Linked DNA regions of Elephas maximus indicus. The protein of the gene in region 1 purifies or fractionates together with the protein of each later gene. This does not show direct contact. Links are inferred from orthologs where the notes say so. Each region holds a gene or a part of one and is shown in the gene's direction. Other genes may lie near its edges. The genes, in order: SIRT1, FOXO3, HIC1 and BRINP1.

Region 1 (7,840 bases):
CAGAACCCAGGGTCTAGCCTCCGCCCTGTAGTTGCAAATATTGGTTACTCCTTTAATTAAAAAAAAAAAAAAAAACCTCATTTTAATATGTCCAATTTTAACAAGAAATATTTATAAATGTCTCTTCAACTCACCTGTCTTAGTATCTAGTGCTGTTATAACAGAAACACCAGAAGTAGACGGCTTTAACAAACAAATTTATTCTCTCATAGTTTAGTAAGTTAGAAATCTGAATTCCGGGCGTCAGCTCTAGGGGAAGGCTTTCTCTCTGTCGGATCTGGAGGAAGGTCTTTCTCATCAATCTTCCCCTGGTCTAGGAGCTTCTCAGAGCAGGGACCCCAGATCCAAAGGACACACTCTGCTCCTGGCACTACTTTCTTGGTGGTATGAGGTCTCCCTCTTCTTTGCTCCCTTTTTTCTTTTATATATCAAAAGAGATCGACTCAAGATACAACCTAATCTTATAGATTGAATCCTGCTTCATTAACATAACTGCTTCTAATCCTGCCTCATTAACAGTATAGAGGTAGGATTTATAACCCATAGGAAAATCAGATGACAAAATGGTGGACAATCACATAATACTGGGAATCAGGGCTTAGCCAAATATACACACAATTTTAGGGGATATGATTCAATCCATAACACCTCCCATCCATACACACTCTCTCCATTAAGGGATGTTAAAATGTTAGCATTTTGATATGTAACTTTCCATATTTTTCCCAAGCCTATGCAGTCATATAAAAAAAAAATAATAATAATTTTTTTTGTTTTTTTTATGCAGTCATATTTGCTTATAGGTTTTTTTTTTTTAAATAAGAAAAGGACATAAAAAGGGATATTTATTAAATAATAAAAAGACCATAATATACCATTACTGTGCATCTTGCTTTTGTCACCCATAGTGTATCATAAATATTCCTCAACAGCAGTTTACAAATGTTACAAATATTTTTAATGGTTGCATACTATTCCACAGTATGTGTGCACTGGAACTCGATCAAGTTTCCTATGGATAGGTGTCTGGATTGTTTTTTGACTTTTATTCCAGCAACAACAATGCCACAATAAACATTTATATCCTTACATATTCATAATTTTTTTTCCTTAAGATAAATATTTTCCACATGGGATTTTGGATTGAAATGTACGTGTGTATTTATAATATTTTCAGATTACTTTCCAACACTATAACAGCAATTTATGAGCATGTTTTCCCATATCCTGGTTAGCAGCAGACAGTAATAATTTTTTTTTCTATTTGAGGAGGTGAAAAATCATACCCCATTGTTTTAATTGCATACTCCCGACTACTAATAGGGTTGAGCATATTTTACATTTGTATGTAGTCAAATGTATCTGTCTAGTTATTTTAATGGTTCCTGTCTTGCTTATGTTCTTGCTTGACCCAAAGCTACATAAATATTCTCCTAAAATGTCTTACGATATTTTTATTGTCGTATTTTTTTCATTTAGACCTTCAACCCATCTGGAATTTATTTTTTAATATAGTGTTAGGTAGGGATCTACATTCGTATTCTTCCAGATTGATAATCTGTTTTTCCAATACCATTTTATTCATACACAAAGAGTTGGCACCAACTACCCTACTAACCGTAATCAGTCAAGACTAATATCAAAGCTACAAGGCCAATTTACCAGTTTACAGAAAAAGGACTGCCAAGTCAGCCAGAATATTAATGTGGGCTCTCTGCACATTTTCTCCTCAGTGGAAAATACTATATGTAAAGTCCTTCCCTGGAGAAGGACATCATGCTTGGTAAAGTAGAGAGCCAGCAAAAAAAGGAAGACCCTCAACAAGATGGATTGACACAGTGGCTGCAACAGTGGGCTCAAGCATAACAGTGATTGTGAGGATGGTGCAGGACTGGGCAGTGTTTCATTCTGTTGTACACAGGGTTGTCGTGAGTCGGAACCAACTTGAAAGCACCTAACAACAACAATAAAGCCAAATTACTACTGAAGGCTGCTCAGGCGTCTTAGGGTTAGAGTCGAATAATCTTAATAACTAGTGTCAGAAGTCTATGACAGCCCAATGCATCTATCTCTGCCTTGTCAACTAAGGTGCCAGATCTTATGTCATCAGTTTTACTAACTCTCTTACCTGAACTGTGCTGGGGACGAACTGAGAAGTTCCTTGTCTTGCTTCTTGCTTCTTTTTCTAGTATCCATGTTGACCACCACCCTTCATTCAGTAATTCTTTTTCTTTATGGGAATCTTCATTTTGACTCTTTATTCATTTTTGTATGCTTTTCCTCATTCATCCAACAAAAATATGTGCCAGTTACTGTCCTAGAGAGTTGATAATCGAGAGGTAAACCAGATGAACAAAATTCCTGCTGTAATTGGGGAAGACAGTAAATAACACATATAAAGAAAAGAAAAAAGTTTAATAAGGTAGGATAATATACTCTATAACGTATGAAGAGGTAGTAGGGCACAATGGTTAAGTGCTCGACTGCTAACTGAAAGGTTGGCTGTTCGAACCCACTCAGGAACACCTCAGGAGAAAGGCCTGGTGATTTGTTTCTATAAAGATTACATCCAGGAAAATCCTATGCAGGAGTTCTGCTCTGTCACATGGGGTCACTGGGGATTGGAATTGACTCGATGGCATCCAACAACATTCTAGGGACAGAAAACCAAAACCAAATCAAACCTAGTGCCATCAATTCAATTCCAACTCATAGCGAACCTATAGGACAGGGTAGAACTGCTCCATAGAGTATCCAAGGAGTGCCTAGTGGATTTGAACTGCCAGCCTTTTGGTTAGCAGTCGTAGCACTTAACCACTACACCACCAGAGTTTCCTCTAGGGACAGAGGCACAGGGAAAAGTGTAACAAATATGTGGCAGATATGTATTTAAGAAGTGCCTCCAGAATTATTTTATACATACATAAACAAACAGGTAAATACAGTCTCCCTCCCACAGTCCACTCCCTTCATACACTATACTGTATACACTGTTCTGTATCTTGCACTGTGCAGCTTAGAGATCATTCCACATGAGAACTTAGAGTTGTTCCTCATTTTTTTAATGCTTCTTATGAAAGCTCAATTTAGAGTACACTAATGATAAAAAATAATTACAAGAAGGGCAAGGCCAGATTTACGCGAGAAGCTGAAAAACTGAATCTAAACTTGCAGGCTATAGGGATTAGGGAATGACCTGAGTTTTAGGCAAGTTTTAGTTCTCAACTATGGGTAGGTCAGGCTCTAGTTGGGAGTTGTTTTTTCTCATCATACAATTCTGTTTCTTGCTTATCCCTCTGGCACGCATAACTCATCTCTGGCCTTTCAGCACACTAGCCATCATATTGATCACAAAGCATTTCTTGTAATTCATAAACACTAGCAAGTGTCTTTGATGGATGATAAATACAAATAAATGAATGAATAACATATGTCCATAAACTTACAAATATCTTTTTCAAAATAAAATGGTGAATTTTGTTTCTATTTCGATGAGAAAACAATTCTCAACATTTTACATGTTATATCCTACGTGGTTGAGAATCAATTTATTAAATACTTTGTAGGGTACCACAGACGAAGTGGGGAGTGAACAGGGCTAAGGATGCCAGCTAGGAAGGGTGAGGTGCTTACACAGTTAGAAACTGGAGTTTAAGATGGAAGGAAAGACAACAGGATTTGGTCACTGGTTAGAGTGGACTGAAGAAAAACTTAAAAATGATTTCAAGGTTTCAAAAATGTGAGGTTATCATTTTAAAAAAGTGAAATGACCAGTTGAAAGGGGAGATTCTCAGGTTAATTTGAAATACTAAGACTTTTGGATTTAGATGGAATCTTGGCCTCTGCTGCTGACGTCAAAATCTAACTATGAGGGACGTCCACCAAGTTTGAAAACGTGGTCAAGCCTTCCTTCTCAGACCACTGTTAAAAGGTAAAAAGCCTGAAGTCTAAAGATTGGGACTCTGACCCTTGAATTAAAATTGTAATTGTTAATTCCGATTCTCTGGTTCTAAATGAGTATCTTGAGGTCTTCCATGCCTTGCCATGACTACCTTGCAATAAACTGAGTTTATGCACGATAATCTTAAGCATTTCTTCATTCACCTTTAAAATTAAAGCTCACAAGGCAAATGTCCAGAAGGACACATGCCTTTACGGATTTGACAATCTACACGACTCCACAAGTGATTGGGGGACAGGGGGACAACTGACAAAGGAGGGAGCCAAACCAAAAAACCCGTTGCCGTCCAGTCCAGTGGATTCCCGACTCATCGGGACCGGAGGAGAACACGAACCCAAAGAGGAACTGTCAGAACAGTGTGAGGGAGCTTCTGTGTCCTGCTGCTGCTACTCTTACCCAAAAACAAAACAAACGACTATCCATAGTATCTCAGGGAGGAAAGCTTTAGGCAGCTTCATTCCTTCTCCTATCTCAGGAACCAGATTTTAACTCAGCTAAATGAGACAGGACTAGGACAGCCAAGGTGTGCACTTCCAGCATTGGCGTAAACGCGCAGGGGAAGCAACCCTGGAGCCATCGGACCGCATTGCCTTCGGAAGGCCGTTTGAAAGAGGAGCTGAGAAGGTGGCGAAGGGGCGAGCTCGGCCGCACCACGCGCCTGCCGCCGAGAGGCGGGGCCGCGGGCTGCCGGGCTGCGTCGCTCCGGGCCCACGCCGAGCCGGGAAGGCGGACGCACGGCCCCGGCCTCCGCCCGCCACGTGACCAGCCGTGTTGTGGTCCGGCCCGCGTGGGTGGCGGGAGCTGGCGGGAGGGCGGGGGCGGCGAGGGGGCGGGTCACGTGACGGGGTTTAAATCTCCCGCAGCCGGAGCCGCGGGGGCGCCAGTGCCGCGCGCCGAGCGGGAGGAGAGCAGGCGAGGAGGGAGGGCCAGAGAGGCAGTTGGAAGATGGCGGACGAGGCGGCGCTCGCCCTTCAGCCCGGCAGCTCCCCCTCGGCGGCGGCGGCGGCGGCGGCCGAAAAGGAGGCCGTGTCGCCGCCCGCCGGAGAGCCGCTCCGGAAGAGGCCGCGAAGAGACGGCCCCGGCCTCGGCCGGAGCCCGGGAGAGCCCGGCGGAGCGGCCCCGGAGCGTGAGGTTCCGGCGGCGGCCGGGGGCTGCTCTGCGGCGCCGCCGTGGCGGGAGGCGGCGGCGGCGGGCGAGGAGCGGGAGGCCCAGGCGGCGGCCGTGGCGGCTCCGGCGACCGGAGAAGACAATGGGCTAGGCCTGCAGGGCCTATCCCGGGAGCCGCCACCGGCCGACGACTTCGACGACGACGACGACGACGACGGCGAGGAGGAGGAGGAGGAGGAGGAGGCAGCGGCGGCGGCGATTGGGTACCGAGGTGCGCAAGGGCGCGGGCCGCCGGGACTGCGCATCCCCTCCTCCCTCCTGCGGGGCCCCTCCTGGCGTGGGTTCGCGGGGTCTCTGGGGCCGGGCCGGGGCGGGGGGCGCCTCTGCGGCGGAGTCTCCCTCCCCAGCTCGCTTTTCCGCTCAGCTGCGCAGCCCCAGGGCAGCCGGCCCGGCTGCGGGAGCGATCCGCAGGCTCGCGGGCTCGCTGGCTGCCTCCTCCCTCCCGCTCCCCTCTGTCTGCGGCTCGCCAGGCGGCCCCGTGCTTTGCGCAGCCGCTGGGCCGGGAAACTCTTGCAATTGGTTTTAAAATAAGTTTTCTTCCCCCTCCTACTGTTTTTGCATACTGCTTTTGTTAAAGACTTTTGCTTTTCGTCCGCCTTCCCCAGCACACTTAAGTCTGCAACTTTTGCCTGTCCCATTGATCGACCTTTGCCATTGCCTTTGCAACCGGACACCTGTTCAGTTTACCTTTTTTTTTTTCAGGGTCTGTATTATTAAACTTAAAGTTTTACGTTTTAAAGAGGAAAGCTGTTTCTAAAGGTATAGCATGTAAAATATAAAGAACATGGCTGTTGCTAAAGACGTTACTCGAGTGGTGCAGTTAATAATGGGCATGGAAAGTAATAGTACTTTGAGTTTTTTTTTTATAAATATTGTTTTTTCTGTAATGATCTAATAATGATTTTTAGAGGAGGTATAATCCCTGTGTGTGTGTGTAATCCTGACATGAAAATTGGCATTTTTGGCACCCTGAAGCAGATATGTTAGGTGTATAAATCGTGTCATCCATGAGGGTTTCAATATTTTTGATCTGAGGAGTTTCTGTTTTGGATGGTGGTTCATTTGTATCAATATTTTAATTAAGTCCAGTGGCTCATATGTAAATTAACGTGTGCATTAAGGACTAGATTAGTAAAACAACCCCCGATATCAAGGAATTTACAGTTTAGCAGGGGAAACACAATACACAGATGTCTTTCTACGTTTGGTGTTATTGAAAGGGTTAGAAACGCAAATTGCAGCAGTTAACATTTAAAGTTTTTTGTAGTAAATTTCTATTTGATAATTTTTCATAAACGCTGTTATTTGTGATTGACAATTTAACTAGATCACTGCTTTTTTTGTTCTGTTTTTTCTTAAGTGGGCTCAATTTATTTCTAGATTTTGATGGACAAACTTAGATTCTGGGTAGCAGCCCTGAAGATGAGGGTACTTCTCCTTTGAAAGGTGTGGGCGGACCTGATAGGCATTCTTTACACACATGGTATGAATGTTTAAGTGCTGCGTTAAATGAACGTCATTGCCTCATAGCCATTATAGGTCTTAATACATTTTTGGTGCAGGCTGTTTCAGCACCCTTCAGTTACTTTTGCTTCTTTTGCAGATAACCTTCTATTCAGTGATGAAATTATCACCAATGGCTTTCATTCTTGTGAAAGTGATGAGGACGATAGAGCCTCACATGCAAGCTCTAGCGACTGGACCCCAAGGCCACGGATAGGTATGATTTCAAAGCTCTGCAGCTTTAGAGACAAAATGCTTTTTATTGTCTTGTATTTTCATTTTATGAGAACTAAAAATTTAATTCTCTGCCCCCTTATGCCCTCATGATGAGGTTCTTGGGAGCTTGGTGAGATTTAATGTCAGCTTAGGGACAGCTTGAAGGTCCTTGGATGGTGCACATGGTTTGTGCTGAGCTACTGACTGAAAGGTACCCAGCAGCTCCAAGGGAGAAAGACTTGGTGATCTGCTTCCCTAAAGATTGCAGCCAAGAAAACCCTATGGGGCTCAGTTCCACTCTAATACATAGGGTCGCCATGAGTCAGGATTGGGCTAGAGACAGTCTAGGGAAAGTTAGTGATTTTGTTTTTGTTACTGAACAGCTCAGGCCCCTGGAAGCTGGCCTTTTTGCTGTTTCTCACACAGCCAGGTCCTTCTCACTCCTCAGGCCCTTTGCATTTGTGTCTTCTGCCTGGAATGTGCTTTCTCCAGGTAAATAGAGGGTCTTGCTTGCTCCCTTACTTCTTTTTAGCTTTTGCTCAGAAAGCATATCATGAGTGAGGCAGACCCTGACCACACTATCTAAAATTGACACTCCTCCATCTCCTACTGCCCAGCCAATCCCCTTCATATCATTTCTTTAATTTTTTTCTTCTTAAAGACTTCTTGAGAAACTGTGTGTCTTACTTGTTTGTCTTTTTTATTACCTGTTTACTGTGCTAGAATATAAGCTGCACGGGGACAGGGATTTTTGACTGACTTGTATGCTACTATTTTGTTAAGTTCCAGGCCTAGAAAAGTACCTGGTACATAGTATGTGTTCAAATATTTATTAAATAGGTGAATGAAATGGGAAAGTATTTTGAAGTCGAGAATGTTAACAGATTTTTATAATAAAGACATAATATACCCCGTCTTGAAAGTGGTCTTTTTCTTAATGTGCTCTCCTTCTTTCAAAAGTGGCTTGACTAAACACAGCGATGATTAGTTCCT
Region 2 (7,073 bases), on another chromosome or scaffold:
GGGATACGTATTCTGTAAATGGACACTCATCGTGTTTATAGGGAAAAACGAATGGCAGAGAGCCCAGCCAGTGTAAACACATTCTTTTTAGTCTGCAGGCCTACATTCTATTGGCAAAGGATTACTTAAATTTGAAGATAAAGCGTGGGTTTCTTTTAGTGTATTCCTAAGTATTTAAAACAAGCAACTGAAAGTTCTTTAGATTTTATGCTGTATCACGGTGCAAAACCATGGGAACCACGGGCCATCTAGCCTCCTGGTTCTTGCAAATCTAAATAAAGACACCAGGTAATATGTTGTGAACCCACTAAGCCCCAGAGCTCGGCCACCTTAAGTTGAAAGTTGGGGTCACACATCACTGTCCATATTGCCAGGCTGGAAACCAAATGCAAACCGCGGGCTTCTCAGGGAAGCATGCCCACAAGGTGAGTGGAGCTGCAGGCACACCAGCAACTTCTGGGTACAGTTAAAGCCCTATCCCACGGGTTTCCCCTTGTCTGAAGACCGTTTTATGTAGCAGGAACGCATTCTGCCGTGGGCAGAGCCGTATGCCTACGAGATGGGTACATGTGGACTGGGGGTAGTCGGAGCTAGGGAGCGAGGGCACAAACAACGCTGAGTCCACCTCGGCACCGAAGTGTGTGCATCAAGATGTAAGCGTACGAGCGAGATCTGCTCCGGAACCGATGGGCCGCGATGCCCGGCCTGGCGCGGCATCCGGAACGAAGAAAAGCAGGCGGCTTTGATTCCACAATACAAAAGCAGTAGCCGAGCCCGAACGCAGAAAGACAGCTTGGCGCGGTGGAAAGACGTCGTCTCCGTCGCTGCCGGAGCAGCACGCGAAACTCGGCGTCAGGCTCCCTAACCAACCCAGGCCTCCAGCTGCGCTGGAAGCGCTGAGTGGGTACAGCTTTGCGGCCCGGCGAGCTGGCCCCGCCGCGTCCCCCAATGAGCGCGGGCGGACCCACGAGCCAGCCACTTTACTGAGCAGCCAGCGCAACATTCCATTTAAAAATAACACCCACGTGCGCTGGTAAACAAGCGCGCGCGGCTAAAGGCGCTGCGCGCCCCGGGCGAGGCAGCGCAGCGCGCGCCCGCCCTCCTCCCGCACGTGTCGGCTGGCTCCGCCCGCGCCGTCGCGGCGCTGCTCAGTTTCCACCCCCTCCGTGGGCCGCGTACCGCCCCTCCCCGGACGCTCCGGGGCCCTAGCGTCCCCCGGACTTCTAGGCGCACACAGCGGAGTGCTCTCCGAACTTTTCTTTCCCGGCACCTACTCACCGCGGCGGGACCCGTTGCCCCAGGTTTTCTCCCTCCCCTCAGTCCCTCGTCCTCTCACTTTCCCCCTTTTAACCCAGGCTTCATCAGCACGCCGAGGATTGGCTTCTGGCTCGCCCTCTTTTTCTCCTCTCCTCCCGTCCTTCCTCCCTTCCTTAGAATTTTACTCGATTGTTTATTATTTGTTGGGGGGCGGGGGCGGAGAGGCGGAGAGGCTCTGGGGCCTGGAGACTGCTGGCCGCGGCCAGTCAGCGCGCTGTATAGCTTGACGGGTAAGCGGCCCAGCGAATGGCGGCGCGGCGCAGAGCTCCGGGTCACGCGCGTGTGGATACAATGACATCATCTGTTTGTACGCGTCGAACTAGCTTGGTGCAGTGGCGGAGCCGCGCGTCACTTGACTGACAGGCCCTGCGCAAAGCCCGGAGCCCGGAGTTGTCCCGATGGGCGGACTCTTGTGTACGCATGATTGGCCCTTCTGTGTGTCGAGTTCTTGTGGAGTCCTAGTCTCTCAAATAATCTCCAGTGATTTAGAAGGATTTTATATAAGGAAAAAAGATATTTGTGAACCTGAGCGGATAGACTTTTTGTGTGCATGTTGCATTTAGTGCGTTCTTAATAATGCACAAATGAACGATTTGGGCACGGGACGTAGGGTAAGGTCTTGTGAAGATGTTCTTCTAAATCTAAAGGATTATCTTTTTAAGAAGTAAAAACAAATGCATAGTAGCTGTTTTGACGTCATTCAAAAATTAAAATCAAATTATTTCCCATTCGCTATTGTTCAGAATCTGCTCTTGCGTTCAGAAATGGGGAATAATTTGCTTTTCTTTCTGAGTTAATTCTACGTCCCCCTGTTTGTCATGAAATCTATTAAAAGTGAAAAACGATTGTGGCGGAAAGTCCAAGGTCATACTCCTTGAAAACCTTCTGGTTTCTGATCAAATCTGAGGGCGTCAAGTTTATCGAAGTCCTGTAGGCACTAACATCTGCGCTTGCCAGTATTTCCACGTCGAGGTAATCCTGGCCATCTGCGTTTAACATCTCGGGTATTACCTGGTGTCCCGTTCTAATGGGGAACCGGATACCAGGATGGGCCCAGAGCCCGGAGAGTGGGCATGCATTCCGGGGACCCCCGGTGCCAGGCGCCCTGGCCCGAGCTTAGGAGACCACGCGACTGCGGTCTGTGGAGGGTTTAGGGTTCTTTTCGCTTTGTTGTCCTTACGGCTCCGGAGAGGGAGCTAGAGTCCCGCAGAGATCGCTGCGGGAGCCCGCCGTTCCCCGCCCCGCGGCGCGCGCCGCGACACCCACGCCCGCAGCCCCACGGGGCCAGGCCGCGCGGGCGCGCGCGCGCGCGAACACACACACGCTACACACACACACACACACACACACGCGCACACCAGCACACCCCGGCCCGCCGCCCCAGCCCTCCCCCTGGGCGGGGATCCGCCCGCCCGCCGTCAGCCTAGGTTGAGGCGCCCTGCGTGTGTCTATAACTTTGTGCTGCTGCCGCGGCCGCCCTGCTCGTTGGAAAGGAGGAGGAGGAATGTGGAAGGCGGCGGCGGGCAGGCTGACAGGCGGCTCCTCAGGCGGGTTGCGGCGGCGGCCGGAACGTCTCCCCTTCGCCGAGGCTGCGCGCCTCCTCCTCGCTGTGCCCCGAGCCCGCGCGGGATTGTGCGTCCTCCCGCCTTGTCCCTGAAGGGAAGGAACCGAGGTAGGCGCCGGAGCAGTGCAACGGGGCGGCCGCCTTCCCGATGACTCCGGATCTGCTTCCGAGCTGGGCCAGGCGCTTCCCTTTTCCCTCTCTGTGACTCGGTGTGTGCAGCTCCCCTCTCCCGCTAGTCTTTTTAAAGGACTTGAGTGAAGGGAGAAAAACTGTCAAGATGGCAGCAGCGGGAGCAAGGAGGTGATGAACAGGCTGGTCCGGGTTTTCTCGAAGCGCTTCCCGACCTGTTGGAAGATTTATGCTCCGATTTGCTCCCTCCTTCCTCTTTCCTTGGGGGGAGAGGGGCGGAGGACACGGCGTCCACGGGAAAATAAACCACAAAACCTCGGAATGGCCGTTCCTGCCCTGCTCGACCCATTGCGAACACACGCCAAGCTTCTTGTCCCCCCCCCTTTTTTTTTCCTGAAGTAACAAGGGCCCGCTTGCGCTCGAACCCCCATCCGCCCTCCCGGCCTGCGGGCGAAGGGGGAGAAAGGAGCTGCCCGCGCTGTCCCTGGGCTTAGGTCCCTCCGCTGGGTGTGGGATATTAGAGGGATGGCGGAGGCGGCAGGGCTGGGGAAGGGGAGAAGAGCCGAAGACGCCACAGACTTTGGCGGCGCCACCGCGGGAGGCACTTGAGCGGGCCCGAGCGAAACATAAACAAACGCACGCCCGCCCCGGCCCGGGCTCCGACCGCGGCTCGGCTGCGCCAGCTCCCGCCGCTGCCCGCTTTAAAGGCGCGGCCCGCGCCCCTCCCCCGCGCCCGCCCCCCCGTCTTCCCCGCCCCGCCACCTAGCCCTGGAGAGACCTGCGGATCGGGCGGCGGGGGAGGGGGCTGCCCCGTGCGCGCCCGTCGATTCGCTCACGTCTCTTCCGCGGCCAGACCAGGGGGCGGTGTCTGCTGCGCCAGGTTCTTGGGACGCAGGTCTCCAGGTCTGCCTGCTGCTGGGAGGCGGGCGCGGTGCCGTCCGGTAGGCGGCGGCGGGCGAGGACTCACGGAGGACTCGGCTCCGGCCCGAGATAACCAGTTCTCTTCTCTTCTCTAGTGCTTCCCCAGGCGGCGGCGGCGGCGGCGGCAGCGGCGGCGGCGCCCGGAGCCCGAGCCTTCGCGGCGCCCCGGTCCCTCCCCCGCCGCACCCCGCCCCGGCGAAAGAAGAGAGCGCGAGAGCCCGAGCCGCGGGCGGGCGGGCGGCGAAGATGGCAGAGGCACCGGCCTCCCCGACCCTGCTTTCGCCGCTGGAAGTGGAGCTGGACCCTGAGTTCGAGCCCCAGAGCCGGCCGCGCTCCTGTACGTGGCCCTTGCAGAGGCCGGAGCTCCAGGCGAGCCCGGCCAAGCCCTCGGGGGAGGCGGCCGCCGATTCCATGATCCCCGAGGAGGACGACGATGAAGACGAGGAGGACGGCGGCGGTGGGGCCGGCTCGGCCATGGCGATCGGCGGCGGCGAGAGCGGCACGCTGGGCTCGGGGCTGCTTCTTGAGGACCCGGCTAGGCTGCTGGCTCCCGGAGGGCAGGACCCTGGGTCCGGGCAAGCCCCCGCGGCGGGCGCGCTGAGCGGGGGGATGCAGACGCCGCTGCAGCCTCAGCAGCCGCTGCCACCGCCGCAGCCGGGGGCGGCTGGGGGCTCCGGGCAACCGAGGAAATGCTCGTCGCGCCGGAACGCTTGGGGGAACCTGTCCTACGCTGATCTGATCACCCGCGCCATCGAGAGCTCTCCGGACAAGCGGCTCACCCTGTCCCAGATCTACGAGTGGATGGTGCGCTGCGTGCCCTACTTCAAGGATAAGGGCGATAGCAACAGCTCGGCGGGTTGGAAGGTGAGTACCCACCCGGAGCGGGCTGCTGGACCCGCAGGGCGTCCTGCGCCGCACGAGACTAGCCTCAGGTTCGTCGGAGCGCGCCTCTGGGCGCCAGGGAAAAGGGTTGGCAGTGGGAGCCTCCGCTGCGAGGCTTTGGGGGTTGCTGTGTGACTTCTGGAGGAGAGATACCGGGGGACGGCCGCGGAGGAAGGGAAGGAGGCAACCGGGGAAGCCTTGGGCATGGCCGACCAGGTGAGAAGGGGGCCTGGGACGCCGGCGAGTGTAGGACAGACTGACTGGAGTGCGTTTGCTGCATTCCGGGACAGCGCAGAGGAGGTAAGTCCGCGCCAACTTTGGAATGGAGCTAATCGGAGGTGGGTGCTGCTCCGACGCTGCCGTTGGTGTGTAGGGGCGTGGGGGAGCGTATGGGGACCTGTCCGTGGAGGAGCGGTTGGATGTGTGGTTTCCAGTGGGCCGTAGGAGCATGGTGCGTTGTCAGTGGCTGCCTGAGAACCTTTGGGTCGAAGTTCGGGGTTTATGGGTGTTATTTCCACAGGCACATCGATCCCGTTAAAAAAAGCAACGATTCAAATCTTTTCCTGACCAGGCATCGTTTCTTTGCTTGGGTTGACACTTCAGCAAGCCTGTCCCCGGGTAGGCTCCCAAATGTTCTGGGGCTTGGAAAGGGCCAGCCCTGCCACTTCAGCGCAAATTGGCCGCACCTGCCTCTCCTGCTGAGGCCTGGATGCTGGCGCTGTGTGTGTTATGTGCCCAGGTGTGGAGGACCTTGGCCTGTGCTTCGCCTAGGCCGGAGGAGGGGAGGGAGGTTTGGTGTCAGGACTGGGCGGTCATGGCTTCTGCCTATAAGTGAACCTGAACAGAGACTCTCTTGTTCCTTTTCAGCCTCTTGGGGCACCGGACACGTGGTAGGGAGAGAGGTGTGGAAAGACCTATGATGTAATGACTTCCTGCAGTTGGGCATCCAAAGAGATTAACTCCTTTGCCCCTGCTGGGCTGCTGATATCCAGCTTCTTTGCTCTTCCTGGGCACCCCACCCTTCTTGGCCCCTTCCCCCAAGATATGAATGTGTTGCTACCAGGCAAAAGAGACTTTTGTATAGTTAGAGATAGATGTCGCTTATTAGGTGCTTCTATTTGTAATATTATGTCTTTTTTATGTTTTAATAAAGAGGTAGTTGCTTCCTTTTTCTGGCTTTCCTTTCATTATCTTTGGGGAGTCCTGTATCTTCCTGGGTTCCAGTAGGTGTCTAAAATAAGAACAGTTTAACCTTGGTAGAAAAGTGACTTGAAATTCTTGAGAGGAGACTATGAAAAAGCTTAAGAATTCGGTGCACTAAAGGTTTGAATTTAGTTTTAGAAAAACCTTGCAAAGTGCCTTTTTTTTTTTTTTATGGCTAGTATTGGAGAGGCCTTGTTTACATACCTTAAAAGCTAAATGTGTGTTTTATATTATTTCACAAATCTGCTTTATTTCTTTTAACAGAAATTGATATGTTATGAATCTTATATTCGATCTCATTTTATTGCTTTACAAAGAAATGCCTGTTTTGTGATATGAAGTTCGTTTACAGAAAGGGTGAGAGTTCCATTTCAAAGCAGTGCTAATGAGATACCTGTTAAAGCTGGATTTCCCAGTGGATGGCAGGGATTAATCTCAATGTACAATGTCTGGATGGGGCGAGTTTACATGATCTCAGAAGATGAATCTGGAGGTTTGGAATACGTATTTTTCAGATTTTCCACCCTTGAAATTTAGTCCTGCATGTTTTGAATTTGGCACAGAGACTGTGTTAGTTAAAAGTTTAGATAACTTTTAACTTGGTTAAAAAGTTAATGTAGAAAGGGTTGCCACCTTTTCTATGATTTTTAAGATTATGAAGGTAATTTAATTTTTCAAATAACATTTCTTACTATTGTGTTTAAGATAATAATAGTTCAATAGTGTTTGATTTTTTAGACGTTTTACGAGAGAAAGCGGTATTAGCAAAGTAGCCATTAATTTGGACTTGACTCGTTATATTTTCACATAGCTGGCAGGATTTGCAAGAGATTTGGGGCTAGTCATAAACTTTGTGATTTTATGTCATAACCATTTTTCTTTTTTGTCTCATGGTTTTATTTTTCCTTCCTTTCCTTCTCATCTCTCTTTAAAACCTTAGAAAGTATTGTCAATTGAAATTCTCAGGGCTCGGTATGTTTAATAGAAGACACACTTGATTATTTTTATTTTAAAATTTTATACCAGTTTATTTTGTCAGTGTCATGTGGCAACTAAT
Region 3 (6,842 bases), on another chromosome or scaffold:
TCACATGATGGCCCACGGTGGCGTCACACCCCGCGAGACCACTGCGGTGCTGTCACCCTCGCATCCTTGGGAGCTGGACCCGGGGAGGGGCCCAGGGCGCAGTTGGGGCTGTGCGTGGGGAGTGGCAGGGGGTAGAAGAATAGGGGAACCCAGTAGTCTTGAAGAGCTTTGGTGGAGAAGGCTGGGCCTGGGAGGGGATGCCCAACGGGGTTCTAGGTACCACTTAGGAGCTGGCGACCTAAAGAAAGCAGAGAAGTTGAGGAGCTTTGGTTCAGAGGGGTCTCAGGGGGTGGAGAGGCAGTGACCTCTTCCTGTAGGAGTTAGGGTTCTTGGAGGTCATTATTGGGAGAAGGGCCCATGCCATGTGGGGCAGAGTTCCTCTGGAGGGATGGTGGTGGTGAATGGTCCTGGTCCAGCCTAGCTCCATCGCTAAAGGAAGGCTCTAAAAGAAGGAAGAGGAGTGTGTTCAGAGAGAGAGGAACTGGACTAGGGTGGGGAGAGGCAGCAGATACTGGTCAGGCCAGAGCAGGTGGATCTGGGACGGGAAGGAATGGCCTAAGCACAGGAAGAGCAAAGTCCACAGGACCCAGAGGGGGCCCTGACGCTGCAGCTGCCCTGGGGGCAGGGCTGTGAGACCCTCCCATACAGATGCAATGACAGCTTGAGGTAGTGAATTTACTTGGGGTGAACCGAAGCACGTTCAACCAAGAAAGTGCTGAAAGACAAAGATGTAGGGACAGCGGACCCTGGGGTAGGTCCCAGTGGACTCCACTGCACAAAAAGACATAGGAGGATGAAGGGCTCCTTGCCAAGAAAAGATTAAAACAGAGAGGGGGTCGGAGAGTCCCTGCATAGCCTTGGGATCTGGCCTCCTAGAGTCCCCATTTGTTGCCGCTAGCTTTTGTCCCAGCAGCTCTCTTCTCCAGGAACGCCTTTCCACCTGCTGGGAGAACTCCTATTCATCCTTCAAAGCCTAGCTCTAAGAGCACTTATTCTGAAGAGCCTTCCCGCCTCCCTCCAACACTCCAAACAGTTCCATCTCAGTCCACAGCACGTTCCCTGGATGAGGTATCTGGGTTCATCTCCCGCAGAGGCTGGGAGCTCTGGAACCTACTGTTTTCATCCTTGGGGTCTATTTCCCAAGTGAGGACATTGTGAGGAGATGGAGGAGAGGACAGGGATGAGTCCAGCTGGTCGGAAACAGGGTGAAGGGTGGCCTCAGGACTCGGCGGGCGTCAGGTGGACCTGCGAGGACCAAGAGCTGCCCGACTGGCAGGCACTAAAGCCGTGAAGCCGCCTGTGGAAGGAATGGAGACTCTGGGGGGCGCCCGAGACCTTGGTGTCTGTTTGGAATTTCGAGTGGCAGCGCCAGTGGCCCCTAGCTAGGTGACTCAGCCACTACTTGTGGCGGGGGCCTGGGGGCCGCAGCCGAGGACTATGCGGGGGGCGGCAAATGCGGACCCCGCCAGCCTAGCGGCCGAGCGCTGTTGCTAAGCTCTTCGAGGCCTCGGAGAGACGCGATCTGGGCGAATCTCATCGGTTACTATGGTAACGCTGCGCCCCAGCCTCTCAAGCTCGGCCGCTGGGGGAGGCGCAGCCAATCAAAAGCGGCGGGCGTTCTCGGGGACCCCCCCTCCCCCCGCGTGTGGGCGGGGGTCAGGAGGTGCAGGGAGGGGGCGGAGCGTGGGCCGGGGAGATTCGGCGCTCGCAATAAGCCGGGTGCAGCTGCCGGGCCGCTCGGGGACACTTCCGGAGTAGTCGAGCTAGCGCCCGCAGGCCACTGCGGTGTCCCCTCCGTCCCAGAAGGGGCGTCACCTGCACGAACGGGACCTCCACGCGTAGTGCAGGACCTCAGGCCCTCCTGTCACTTTTCTCCCGGCTCCGTGGGTTGGAAAAGAGGTCGTCCAAGCAGGGTCCCTCAGAATGGCTCACGCGAGAATCTGGGGGCGGGGGCCACTCCTGAAGGACCCCAAGAGACGCTGTCCCGCCATTCCCAGCTGAGTATCCTGGGGCTCCCCTGGAGACCCGCGGGCTGTTTGGGTAACACCTCTGCCCAGATTCACGGAAGGCCCTATGCAGCAACCCCTGGAGTATCTCAAGCAGGAATCCAGACTCTGGGAGGGGGCGGGTGTGTCTGTGCATAGATAAACGCCCCGCGGGTGTCAATGTCTGAAGAGGTTCTGGGTGCGAAAGGGTTTATACTGTGGCTGAGTGTGGGCGTTTTGGGGTGTCCAAGTGGACAGTCTCATCCAGCAATGTCTAAGGAGCGTCCTTAGGATCAGACCCCCTTAGGATTTCCGTAACTCCTCTCCCACCACCCAATGTCATCAGAGTCCCCTCCTTGCGGGCGGGAGTTTTCCAAATTGGTGCCGTATGGTAATACAGAACTATGTACACGGGAGCGATGTACCCTAGTCCTTCTGAGTTCAAAACCCCGGGATCTGTGGGCCTCCTAGGGTCGGGTCTGTGTCCCTAGGTGGGCTGGGAGCGTGGACTTGCAGGTAGGCCCCCCCTCCCCAGAGGCGTAGCGAGGGTAACCAGTAGCCAGGAGCAGTCTCTAAGCTTGCGCCCCCCACCCCCACCCCGCGCCGGCTTCCTCCTCCGGGGTCGGGGGTGATTCGCCGGCAGGCCTCGTCTGGCGCCCCCTAGGACTTGCGCCCGGGGGCAAATACATCCCTCTAACCCCGCTTCGCTAAGCCTCTGTCCCTCCCCCGCCCAGCTCGGTATCCGAGAGCCTACAGCCCAGGTGAGCCGCAGGGAGGTAGAGGTTGTGCTCGGCAGATCCTCAAGAGGCCGCCAGGTGGCGCCATGGCCGCAGCAGCGCCTACCGGCCCGGGCCGCTCCAGATAAGAGTGTGCGGAAAGCGCAGCGGGGCTGAGACGCGACCAGGACGCGGGGAGGACGGACCAGCAGGACAAACCGACCGGGGGCCCGGCGGGCGGAGCGCAGCGCAGCGCAGCCACGTCCCCCCTGGATCCGCCGGCAGCCGGGCCCGGGGCTTCAGACATGCCCCCCAGGTGGGTCCCTGGGCTGGGGTCCGGGCGGGACGGGGAACCGGGGACAGCCCGGTCCCCAAGCGCTGGCCGCCTCGGGGCGCATCCTCCGCAGGAGCCCCATCGCGGCTGGCGTTCTGGGCTCCGGATGTCGCCCCTAGAGGACTCAGGACCACCAGTCGCTCCTCCGCTCCGGGTTCACGGCGGGGTCAGCGGCCCGGGGCCGGCTCTGCCCGCACATGGGCTGGAGAGGCTAGGGGAAGGGAAGGGGAGCTGGCGGGCGGGGCTGGCAGGGGCGCTGCCCTGGCACAGCTCGGCGCCTGGCAGTGGGGCGGGTGGGGCGCCAGCGAGGAGCTGCCACCACCGCGGGGAGGGAAGCCCGGCCAGGCTGCGGGCGCAGGTAACGGGCCGCCAGGCCCTGCGGGGCAGGCGGGGAACAGGGGTGGGCCGGCGGGCGAACGGGTAGGGGAGCTCAGGGCTCGGTCGAGCCGCGCGGCTAGGGCGGCCGCCGGAATTGGGGGCCGAAAAGAAAAGCCGGGAGCCGAGGGACTGGGGCTGGCGGGCTACTCCCGCCGTGTTTGAAGTTGGGAAACTTTTCCCCAAGTTTGGGGCGGTGGAGTTCCCGGGGAGAAGGGGCCGAGGGGAGTTGGGGAGGGAGGCCCCGGGCCCGCGAATGCAGAGCAGAGGACGAGGCCAGGGCCGTGATGCGGGTGGGGCGCAGGCCGGGGTCAGGGCCGCAGCCGGCTGCGCGCCGTGCCCGCCCGGGGCGCTGCCCCCTCCCTCCCTTGGGAGCTGCGTGGCTCCCCCCTCCCCCCCACCTGCTTCCTGCCTCAGCCTCCTGCCCCGATATAACGCCCTCCCCGCGCCGGGGCCCGGCCTTCGCGCTCTGCCCGCCACGGCAGCCGCTGCCTCCGCTCCCCGCGCCCGGCCGCTGCCCGGGCCCATCCAAGGCCTGACAGCCCCGGGTCAGGGTGGCGCCACGGCGGGCACCGCACTCCCCTGCTCTGGATCACTTCCCCCAAATGGGGCAACTTCTCCCGAGGCGGGAGGCGCTTCCTACTCAGCTCCCTTTCTCCCCACTTGGGCAAACTTCTCGGCCCTGAATGACTTTTCCTGAAGCGGACATTTTCCTCAAATCGGGTAACTGTCTCTGAAAGGGTCACTTCGTTCCCAACAGTCTTCTCCTCGGAAGCACCCAGCACCCAGCTCGTGCCCTGTGGCGTCTGGGCCTGGGGCGCGCCGGCCAGCCTGGCCTTTCTCAACCTGTGGCAGCTCCGTCTTTTGGCTCGGCCTGTCGGCCCAGGCTCCCACTCCCAGAGGCCGCTGATCCTCCGCCAGTGCCCAGGCTGCGGTGCTCGATGCCCCAGCCCAACTGAGGGGAAGGGGAAGTGGAGGGGAGTATCGCAGGTCTGGGTAGAGGCGGCCAGGGCGCAGCACGGCTCTGACCCGGCTGGTGTGTGTCCCTGCAGGAGATTGTGCTGGGCAGACGATGCTGGACACGATGGAGGCGCCGGGCCACTCGAGGCAGCTGCTACTGCAGCTCAACAACCAGCGCACCAAGGGCTTCTTGTGCGACGTGATCATCGTGGTGCAGAACGCCCTCTTCCGCGCGCACAAGAACGTGCTGGCGGCCAGCAGCGCCTACCTCAAGTCCCTGGTGGTGCATGACAACCTGCTCAACCTGGACCACGACATGGTGAGCCCAGCCGTGTTCCGCCTGGTGCTGGACTTCATCTACACCGGCCGCCTGACGGATGGCGCTGAGGCAGCGGCGGCCGCGGCCGTGGCCCCAGGGACTGAGCCGAGCCTGGGTGCCGTGCTGGCTGCAGCCAGCTACCTGCAGATCCCCGACCTCGTGGCGCTGTGCAAGAAGCGCCTCAAGCGTCACGGCAAGTACTGCCACCTGCGGGGCGGCGGCGGCGGCGGCGGCGGCTACGCGCCTTACGGACGGCCGGGCCGGGGCCTGCGCGCCGCCACGCCAGTCATCCAGGCCTGCTACTCGTCCCCAGCCGGGCCTCCGCCGCCCCCCGCCGCCGAGCCGCCGTCAGGCCCTGAGGCTGCGGTGAACACGCACTGCGCAGAGCTGTACGCTTCAGGCCCCGGCCCGGCCGCCGCGCTCTGCGCCCCCGAGCGTCGTTGCTCCCCGCTCTGCGGCCTGGACCTGTCCAAGAAGAGTCCGCCGGGCTCTGCGATCCCCGAGAGGCCGTCGGGCGAGCGCGAGCTGCCCCCGCGCCCAGACAGCCCTCCTGGTGCCGGCCCCGCCGCCTACAAGGAGCCACCTCTTGCCCTGCCGCCGCTGCCACCGCTGCCCTTCCAGAAGCTGGAGGAGGCTGCACCCCCTCCGGACCCGTTCCGTAGCAGCAGCGGCAGCCCGGGACCCGAGCCTCCCCCCGGCCGCCCCGACGGGCCCAGCCTCCTCTATCGCTGGATGAAGCACGAGCCGGGCCTGGGCAGTTACGGCGACGAGCTGGTCCGGGGACGGGGCTCGCCGGGAGAGCGCTGTGAGGACCGCGGTGGGGATGCTGCCGTCTCGCCCGGGGGGCCCCCGCTCGGCCTAGCGCCGCCGCCGCGCTATCCGGGAAGCCTGGACGGGCCAGGCGCAGGCGGCGACGGCGACGATTACAAGAGCAGCAGCGAAGAGACGGGCAGCAGTGAGGACCCCAGCCCTCCCGGCGGCCACCTCGAGGGCTACCCATGCCCGCACTTGGCGTATGGCGAGCCGGAGAGCTTCGGTGACAACCTGTACGTGTGCATCCCATGCGGCAAGGGCTTCCCCAGCTCGGAGCAGCTTAATGCGCACGTGGAGGCGCACGTGGAGGAGGAGGAGGCGCTGTATGGCCGGGCCGAGGCGGCTGAGGTGGCTGCCGGGGCCGCCGGCCTAGGGCCCCCTTTTGGAGGCAGCGGGGACAAAGTCGCTGGGACTCCGGGCGGTCTGGGCGAGCTGCTGCGGCCGTACCGCTGCGCGTCGTGCGACAAGAGTTATAAGGATCCGGCTACGCTGCGGCAGCACGAGAAGACGCACTGGCTGACCCGGCCATATCCGTGCACTATCTGCGGGAAGAAGTTCACGCAGCGCGGGACCATGACGCGCCACATGCGCAGCCATCTGGGCCTCAAGCCTTTCGCGTGCGACGCGTGCGGCATGCGCTTCACGCGCCAGTACCGCCTCACCGAGCACATGCGCATTCATTCGGGCGAGAAGCCCTACGAGTGCCAGGTGTGCGGCGGCAAGTTCGCACAGCAACGCAACCTCATCAGCCACATGAAGATGCACGCCGTAGGTGGCGCGGCGGGAGCAGCGGGGGCGCTGGCAGGCCTGGGGGGGCTGCCCGGAGTCCCAGGCCCCGATGGCAAGGGCAAGCTGGATTTTCCTGAGGGCGTCTTTGCTGTGGCTCGCCTCACCGCTGAACAGCTGAGCCTGAAGCAGCAGGACAAGGCGGCCGCGGCCGAGCTGCTGGCGCAGACTACGCACTTCCTGCACGACCCCAAGGTGGCGCTCGAGAGCCTCTACCCGCTGGCCAAGTTCACTGCCGAGCTGGGCCTCAGCCCGGACAAGGCGGCGGAGGTGCTGAGCCAGGGCGCGCACCTGGCCGCCGGACCCGACGGCCGGACCATCGACCGTTTCTCTCCCACCTAGGGCGCCCTGCGCCGAACCGCCTTTGTTCCGCCGCCGCTGGGCCCGGTTCGCGCCCCCAGGGAGCTGCGGCGGAGGCGGCGGCGGCAGCGAGCAGGCACACCGCGCCCCAAACAGCTGTAGTAGCAGCGGCAGCGTCGCCCGCAGAGGCGGCGGCCCCACCTCTCTGCGGCCTCACCTGCCCTCACTGCTTTGTGCCTTAGCCCGGGGGTGGG
Region 4 (7,980 bases), on another chromosome or scaffold:
TTCCAGGTTTTTGATAAGTAGAGTGATGGATGAGAACTGAGTTCTAAGCGTATGGCCCTTGCAAGGTTGGGATGGAGTGAGGGTAGGGCGAGTTGGGAGTGGAGAATAGGGGAGTAGGTGAGGAGGTGGAAGGGAAAAACGAAAAGGCGTTTTTGTTCATTTAGGAAATACTCATAACCTAGATGAGAGACATTGAAGGGTTGAATGCTGCTCACTCATAATAAGTACCCAATAAATACTGTTATTTTCCTTAGTTGCTCTTAAGTCAATTCCAACTCATGGCGACCCCATGTGTGCAGAGTCAAATGTCTTGTTAAGGTTTTCAAGGCTGTGAACTTTCCAAAGCATATCACTAAGCCTTCTGAGGCACGTTCTTGAACCTCGAACCTTTTGGCTAGTAGTCAAGCACTTAACCGTTTGCTTACCCCAGAGATTTCAACAATAAATATTAGTTCTTTTAATTCAACTTGATTTTTTTTTTTAAGAGCTCTTATTAAGTACCAAACGTTACATATCACATAGAGACAAGTTTTTCCTCCTGTCAGCTTTCGCAACATTTCCTACAGGCCCTGTTCATGACGTTTACATTCTACGGTGCCTGTGATTATTTAGGCACAAGTCTGGCTATGCAATGAACTCCAGTCTCCTAGAAGTCAGAGACCAGGAAAAACATTCATCTCAGAATTTTTCACATCATCTGACATTTGGTAGGCACTCAATAAATGCGGGCTTTTTTTCTGCAGCTGTTTAGCTTGTTCTGAACCCAAAGCACCCCAGATTAAGGCATCTTAATTCCTTTGAGATTTGACAGAGGGGCCTGGGTGGCACAGCAGTTAAGCGGTGGGCTGCTAACTGAAAGTTGGTGGTTCGAATTCACTAGCTACTCTGAGGGAGAAAGATATGGCAGTCTGCTTCTATAAAGATTTACAGCCTTGGAAACCCTACTGGGCAGTTCTACTCTGTCCTGTAGAGTTGCTATGAGTCAGAATTGAGTTGATGGCAGTGGTTTTTTCTTTTCTTTTTTTTTTGAGATTTGACAGGAGTGGTAAACTTAAGCCTTTGAGGCAGCAGCAGGTAACTCAGAGTTCTGCACAAACAGGGTGAATCTTATCTTTATTTAAAGAGGAGGGGATGGCCCCTCCATCACATCACTGAGCATGTATCTGTATTTCTTGTGTGTTTCTAGAACTGGGCTACTTACCTGCTTATGGATTTCCCTATTGGCTTCCCTTTTCCAATTTCTTAAGCTCAAGTCTAAATGAAACAACCTATAAAATCCAAGGTAAGGTTGGAGACCAGAAGGTTATCTACTCTAAAGTTTCCAAATCTGAGGTCTAGGGAGAGACTCATAAATAATACTGGCATGCAGGGATTCAATGGAATTCCATACAGTATATTGTGGGCATTTTTGTAAATACCTTTTTCACTAGAGAGAGGTCTATAGTAATCATAAGGTTCTCAAAAGAGTCTGTGATCCTAAAATGTCGATCTAATGTTTATCAAACTCATCCTGTTGTGGAGACTATAAAGGAAACAACCAGTTGCCTCATTAAATGCACTTGAAAAAAGGTACTGTTCTAGTATCTGTCTATAGACAGGAAGTTCTTTCTTAAGTCTACCTTAAGCCATTGGCAACTCCTTCCCAGGCAAGCTCTTGGTAAATTCAGTGGAAATAGCAAACAGCTGCTCACCAACACCCACCCCAAAGAAAGAACAAGACATTTCTCACATATCTCAAGCTGCCTTAAATGTTCTTTCTTTGGCAAAGAAGAAAAAAAAAAAAAAAAAAGAAATATATTTTTGGCCTCTAAACCTTTTCCCACCCGTGTGTATTTCTGCAGAAATGTTATCCATATGGTACGAATTGCTTTCTCCATAAGTCATTAGGAATACTTCACACTGAGAACTTTTCTGATGACCAAGGAGTCTTTGGAGACTTTTTTAATGGCCCTCTTAGCCTTTCTACATAGAAACAGGGAAGCTAAACAGAGCCAAATGCAAATGAACTAAGACCTGGAAAGGTTGGAGTTTTAGTCAAAACTCAGAAACCATAAGACTCGGGTGAGCCTTAAATCTGTCTACGCAAATCCTTCATCTCCTCCTCCAGGGACAAGAGCTGCTAAATACTCCATTGGTGCAGAGAATGCAATGGCTCCAGCTACTCAAGTTAATATTTAGGATTGGGCACTGTGATCCTACTAAATTCCATGATCTTGCAATCACTCCGGGCTTTCTCTAATATGCCCAGAGGACACAGTAAAGAATCAGTGTCAGGTATGGAATTCCTGACTCCGTCACCTACTAGCTGTACCTTGGCATGCTACTCAAGTTTTCCAAGCTCCAATTTCCTATTATGTAAAAATGGTATAGTATTATCCATCTTATATCTCGTAGCATTGTACAAATAATAATATGCAATATAGGGAAAGCTTAAATGTTCAGGCACGGTGGAAGTTAAAAAAATTCTCTCCTTTTTCTCTTTCTCTTTAACATTTGGAGTTGGGAAGAGTTCTATGTTTCCTGAGGGAAATATTGACTGTGTGAGGTAGGGGAGAGGAAGATAAGAAACTGTTTTACAGTATTAAGTCTTCTCTTTCTAAGGTATCTGGACCCTAACCCATATTGGGAGGTTAAGAGAGAGGAGCTCAGATGAATCAGTCTGTACCTTGGTCCTTCTCTGAAGCTTTCTAACTAGGTGGTTTCAGGCTATTTTCAGAACTGCATTCCTATCATGGCTGTTGTTGCCTACTACTGTCCAAGGAGGCAGGTCTGAGCTGGGAGATGGTGGAGAAATAGAAAGAAAGGGAGGGAGGAATGAAGAAAGGGAGGGGGTAGAGAGAGACAGAGAGGAAGAGGAAAGAAGAAAGGAGGGAGGCAGAAATAGGAAATAACAACCTTAGAGCTTCATATTGAAATTGATGGGAGAATCAATGTATGTGGTGAGTGTGTTTCTTCGTGGCTGGAATCAAAGTTAGAACTGCCCCAGGAACTACTGCCTAGGATCTGAAACCTGGGCCAGGAGCTGAGAGGAGAAAATGGCCCAGGCAAAACAGGAGAAAGTTCCATCCGCCCAGGCTGGAGAGCTGTCCGTGGTGCTGATTCCCTCTCATTTGCATCAAAGTGGAGAGGATAAGCAGAGAGGAATTCAGAAGAGAACTGGCTGCTGGCCCCCATTTCTCCTCTTCCCCCTCTCTTCATCCAAGGACTCTTGAGACACAGGCACTTTCTCTCTCTCTCTCTCTCTGTTTGGTTTCAAGACTCCTCTTCTCCAATTAGTTCACTGCCTCCTAGATCTTTTTAAGTCCTTTGGTTATCACGTCTTCTCTTTCCTATAATCCTTTGGATAATAATAGCATTAATAACAACAGCCATCATAACAGAACACGTATCGAGCGTTTACTAAGTGCCAGAGAGTATTCTAAGTGCTTTTACATGCATTAACTCACTTAAATCTCAGATCAACCCCATTAGATAGGTAGTTGTATTTTCGTATCATACGGATGAGGAATTGAGGGTTAAAAAGCAAGCAAACAAACAAACCCGTTGCCCTTCAGTGGATTCTGACTCATAGTGACCCTGTAAGACAGAGCAGAATTGCCCCATAATGCCTGGTGGATTCAAACTGCCAACATTTTGGTTAACAGCTGAGTTCTTAACCACTGCGCCACCAGGGTCACCGCTACCAGGGGCAAGATCACATAGCTACAGGATTCCAAATCCTCTGGAGCCAGCACTGTTACTCAACCTGCCTTTCTTTAAAGTTCCCATCATTTTTTTCCATATCCCTCCCTGCCCTTGCATCTGGCAGTTTCACTTTTGCCTAAACTTCAAGGGACTAGGGGTCTGCATTGCTGATTTGGTTTAAACAAAAAAGAAAACAGTAAGCACATATACAGGATATGCAGTCTGTGGGACTTCAGGTCCTGTGTGGGCCTTCTTTCCCGATTCAGGAAGAGGCTCCCTGTCAGCACCCTCGGGCAGTATTTCACATTGAATCCGTACTCCTTGACTCTTCGTACTCATGGCTGAGCCCCCTTGCCCTGCCTCTTCCCTGCCTCTGGTGGTCTCCAGAGAACTTTGCGTGCCCTCAGCTTCTCACTCCTACGTTCTGCCCACGTAAAGAGAAGCACTTGCTTAACTCGAGGAGGTTACGTGGGCTCGCGCCTACACACGCAGAGAAACAGTATCAAATACTGAGACACACATATACAAACGGGCCCACACAGGCACTTCCCAAGACAAAAATCACACTCAGATACACAGCCACACAAGTACCCGCATACCCAGAAACATTCAGATGGCTCGCGACACACACAGCTGCAGACACGCCTAAGGCCACTACGATTTCGGGTTTGCGCACATACACAGCCCCTTTAGGTGCACATACGCGGAGACACGCCACCCCATCCCCGGACCTACGAGACTCCCCAATGGCTCAGCCTCAGCCCACCCAGGGCGTCCCTCTCCTCCAAGACAGCCTCCTTTCTCCCCTCCTCTCTCTTCTCCTCCTTCGCCTAAAGATGTACAAAACACTCCTCAGAATAAACCCCGGCGCTCGGCTCCTCCCTCCCCGCCCCCGGCCGCCGCTCCCCCATTCATTTTCGCCCGTCGCCGGGTAAGTCCCTCCCCCCGCCTAGCCCGGCCTCCGCTGCTCCCCTCCCGGAGACCGCGGCGCACTTGGACTTCCCTCTCCATTCGCCAGCCGCCTCGCTCCGGGTCCCCACCGCTGCGAACTGATCTGGCGCGGGGGGAGGAGGAGAGCGCAGGCGAGCGAACGAGCGCGAGGGCGAGAGCGAGCGAGCCAGAACGAGAGAGCCGGGAGGCAGAGGGAGTAGTGACCGCCTTCCGGAGCCGGCATTCATGCCTGTCCTCGGGGCCAGCGAAGGGGACTTTACGGCTGAGTATGAGCCAGGCTGCTAGGAGCCAGGTACCCCCGCGCCTGCAGTCCCCGCGCCGTCCCCGGTATGCGAGCTGGACGCAGGGCTCTCCCAACTTCCCACCGAGCCGAATAAAAAGCGTCTGCCCGCAGCTCTCCGCCAAAGACGGACATTGACTCCAGGTAAGGCGGCGCCGGGCTCAGCGCCCGGCAGCCCAGCTGCCCTTGGAGCCGGCCCTGGACCGCATTCGGGGAGCCCCCGCCCGCCCCAGCCCCTCCCCCTCCAGGCACCCTAGTCCGCTCTGCTCCCCCCCTCCCCGCCGCCTCCAAGTCCTCTCAGTTTCCGGGGTGGGGGGTTGTCTCTTTTCTCTGGGACGCAAAGGGTTAAATGCGGGTTTTAGTAAGTGGCCTGTGTGGTCCCCGCCACCCCCCCGCCCCGCGCTCTCCCGACGTGTGTGCCTGGTGGGAACTTGGTGTGGTGCTAGTGTGTGTTTGCTTGTGCGGCCTCGTTTGCGTTTGGTGGCTGTGTTTGTGGGGTGTGTGTGTGTGTGTGAAAGAGAAGGGATGAGGAGAAAGGTCCTATAACCTACTTACAGCGTGAGTGTGTGTGCGCGTTTGTACGTATGTATGTGTTTGCATATGTGCGCTTGTGTGCCTTTTTAATTAGGTCTCTTCGGCTTACGCGGCCTGGGATCCTTACTATAGGATCACGTAGCCATCGGGAAACCCGCTGTGGACTTCCTCAAGGGGCTCTGGACTTGGGGAGGATTTGGGGGATAGGAATGACACCTTATTTAGCCCAATGTTGGTCCCCTTGAAGGAAAATTCCCCCAAAGGATGGAGTCCTGCTACACTTGAACCCATCGTTTAATGTGGTTTAATATGAAAGAGAAATGGCCAAACCCTGAGGCATATGAGATGCTGTCGCTTTAAATTCCACACTGGTCAGACTCCAGGATTCTAATGGGAATTTAGACAGTGGGTAGTGGGTAACAGAGAAAGGGAGAAGTCGGCAGTGGAGTCCTTATCTGGGCCTTGGCAGGACTGAGATAGAATCTGCCCTGCCTCCGGTTTGTAATAGCAGCAGCATGACAGCACCTCCTGCTCCTGGGGCTTTTTGGGAAGATCTGGACAAGTTTGCATGATCCCCCTCAAGGGAAAGGAAAGAGTCCTAGGGGACTTGCCCATCCATTGTAGTTGCCCAGAGTCTCAAAAGGAAATTTCATTTGAGGGCAGCTCTGGGTATTATGGGAGGAGATGGATGGGGCACTTCCCTAAGACAGATTCCACCTTCCTTTCCCCATTTCAGGCAGGCTTGAGACACCCCAGATAATCCCTTCCTAAACTGTGCCCCCCAACCCCCACCCCAACCATGGTTCCACTGGACTTAGGAGGATACTGGGAGAAGGCAGGCAGAGAGGTGGCATATATTTGTGTGTGTGTGTGTATGTGTATGTGTTTTGAGGGAGACCTCCAGTTTGGGAAGGGGTTATGAGTAGGGAACCCATGGCAGAAGATGTCAGTAATTTGACTTAAACTGCTGTCAGGATGCACTTCCCATCTCTTGCTTGGCTCTAAAACACTGCCAAGGGCACAGGGGCTGCAGGCAGAATCTCATAGTCATGAGGACAGTTCAGACCAAGGCCCCCTTTTCTCCACCTACTAGGAAGCTGTATAGGTAAGTCCCTTGGCCATCCTGGCTAGGACCTATCTTGGGCTTAGACTTGTGGCCAGCCATTGATTTGATTCCCGGCTGCCACTTAAAGGCTTGTCCTACTCAGCAGAAATGCTGAGTTTTACTGCTGTTAGCATGGCTTCCAGACTCGGCAGCTGTTACTTTCCCAAGGTAAGAGACAGCCTTTCTGCTCTCAGGCAGCGAGGTGCTGGGAGGACAAGGGCTGAGATGTTGAGGCTCAGCCTCTTGTCTGCCTGAGCTTGAAAAGACCAGTGAAAAGGCCATTTGGGGGAAAAAGGTAAAAATATACTTGGCTTTCAAAATCTGTGTGTGTGTGTGTGTATATATATATATCTTCTGGGGAGAGATAAAAGCAAACATGTGTTTGCAGGAATCTGCCCTGACGAGTGGGTGGTGGTGCTACCTGCGTTCGCTTGCAGACACACAGGTCTCTGGCCAGAGGCTGATACTTCAGGCTGAAGCCCTTCAGACAGCCACGGGGAACCTGCTTCTGGAAACTCATGTCAGAGCAGAGCTCCCTAGCTCATTTTGGGTAGGAGCAGAGAAGGAGGCCCCATGTTGGGAGCTGTTTTCGTTTTCTCTCTTTTTCAATTCATAGACAATTGAAGCTGGAAGGAATATTAAAGAGCAGACAGGCAGGACTCTGGGGCCCAGAGAGGGGATAAAAATTCCCTAGTATTCTCTAGTGAGTTGGTGGCATGCCTAGGGCTAGAACCTAGGTTGCCTGACAGCCAGGTCAATGTCCTTTCCACTCCTCCACTCTGCCCAGGGTCTATATGTTGCTACTAGCTCGGACCCCACCACCACACTTCCACCCAAGACAATCACTTGTCTTACCTCACACAACTTCTCATTTCAGAGATGTGTTTCAAAGCTTCTCCACCTGGAAATGTGGCCGTGAAGAGAAAGGGTCCAGTGCTTCCACCCCTCTCCTCATTAGATACACACACAGTACACACACACACACACACACACACACACACACACACTGAACAGGCATTCTTTCACCAATGCCTTCAGAGCATCGCATCCAGGCAGGGACCCAATACTGACTACAACTGGTAGATGGAACCCAGGAAATGCTCTGAGCTTTATCTGAGCTCTTTATTAAGGCAGGTTTTCCAGAAAGCAAAGTGTGCACCCATCCACCTATGCAAAGACTTCAGGCAAATTAATTTCTTTATATTAATTAGAATCTCGGCCTTACCTGTTTATACATATTACAAGCACAGGAGAATGAACAACGACACATGTATACGTGCACTCAAACACACATATACCAGTGTAGACCCAGAAGCCTTTCCTACTTGCTGTATTCTCCAAAAGAAAATCGCAACCTCCGCACCAAATTGTGTTCCCTCGTATAAAGCTATCACGCACATGAAGGTGGAGACCCCTAACTCCAGAG

What was found.
Region 2: the proteins of SIRT1 (region 1) and FOXO3 purify together in Homo sapiens (affinity purification with western blotting; 4 studies listed by BioGRID and IntAct, with this or other methods). This does not show direct contact. The link is inferred for Elephas maximus indicus from reciprocal best matches to the Homo sapiens genes SIRT1 and FOXO3.
Region 3: the proteins of SIRT1 (region 1) and HIC1 purify together in Homo sapiens (affinity purification with western blotting; 4 studies listed by BioGRID and IntAct, with this or other methods). This does not show direct contact. The link is inferred for Elephas maximus indicus from reciprocal best matches to the Homo sapiens genes SIRT1 and HIC1.
Region 4: the proteins of SIRT1 (region 1) and BRINP1 purify together in Homo sapiens (affinity purification with western blotting; 6 studies listed by BioGRID and IntAct, with this or other methods). This does not show direct contact. The link is inferred for Elephas maximus indicus from reciprocal best matches to the Homo sapiens genes SIRT1 and BRINP1.

Annotation. Positions count from the first base shown.
Region 1 is NC_064834.1:19,952,014-19,959,853, reverse strand, and holds the start of SIRT1 (NAD-dependent protein deacetylase sirtuin-1), read left to right. Parts: upstream 1-4,829; 5' UTR 4,830-4,906; coding exon 4,907-5,339; intron 5,340-6,731; coding exon 6,732-6,848; intron 6,849-7,840. UniProt on the Homo sapiens protein: NAD-dependent protein deacetylase that links transcriptional regulation directly to intracellular energetics and participates in the coordination of several separated cellular functions such as cell cycle, response to DNA damage, metabolism, apoptosis and autophagy.
Region 2 is NC_064819.1:174,355,926-174,362,998, forward strand, and holds the start of FOXO3 (forkhead box protein O3), read left to right. Parts: upstream 1-4,068; 5' UTR 4,069-4,177; coding exon 4,178-4,795; intron 4,796-7,073. UniProt on the Homo sapiens protein: Transcriptional activator that recognizes and binds to the DNA sequence 5'-[AG]TAAA[TC]A-3' and regulates different processes, such as apoptosis and autophagy.
Region 3 is NC_064837.1:19,699,644-19,706,485, reverse strand, and holds HIC1 (hypermethylated in cancer 1 protein), read left to right. Parts: upstream 1-3,949; 5' UTR 3,950-4,096; coding exon 4,097-4,133; intron 4,134-4,462; coding exon 4,463-6,630; 3' UTR 6,631-6,831; downstream 6,832-6,842. Other genes in the region: collagen alpha-1(I) chain-like, read left to right, coding at 1,429-2,040, 2,782-3,567, 3,828-3,949. UniProt on the Homo sapiens protein: Transcriptional repressor. Recognizes and binds to the consensus sequence '5-[CG]NG[CG]GGGCA[CA]CC-3'. May act as a tumor suppressor. Involved in development of head, face, limbs and ventral body wall.
Region 4 is NC_064827.1:69,193,985-69,201,964, reverse strand, and holds the start of BRINP1 (BMP/retinoic acid-inducible neural-specific protein 1), read left to right. Parts: upstream 1-4,975; 5' UTR 4,976-5,059; intron 5,060-7,980. UniProt on the Homo sapiens protein: Plays a role in neurogenesis and brain development. May suppress cell cycle progression in postmitotic neurons by inhibiting G1/S transition.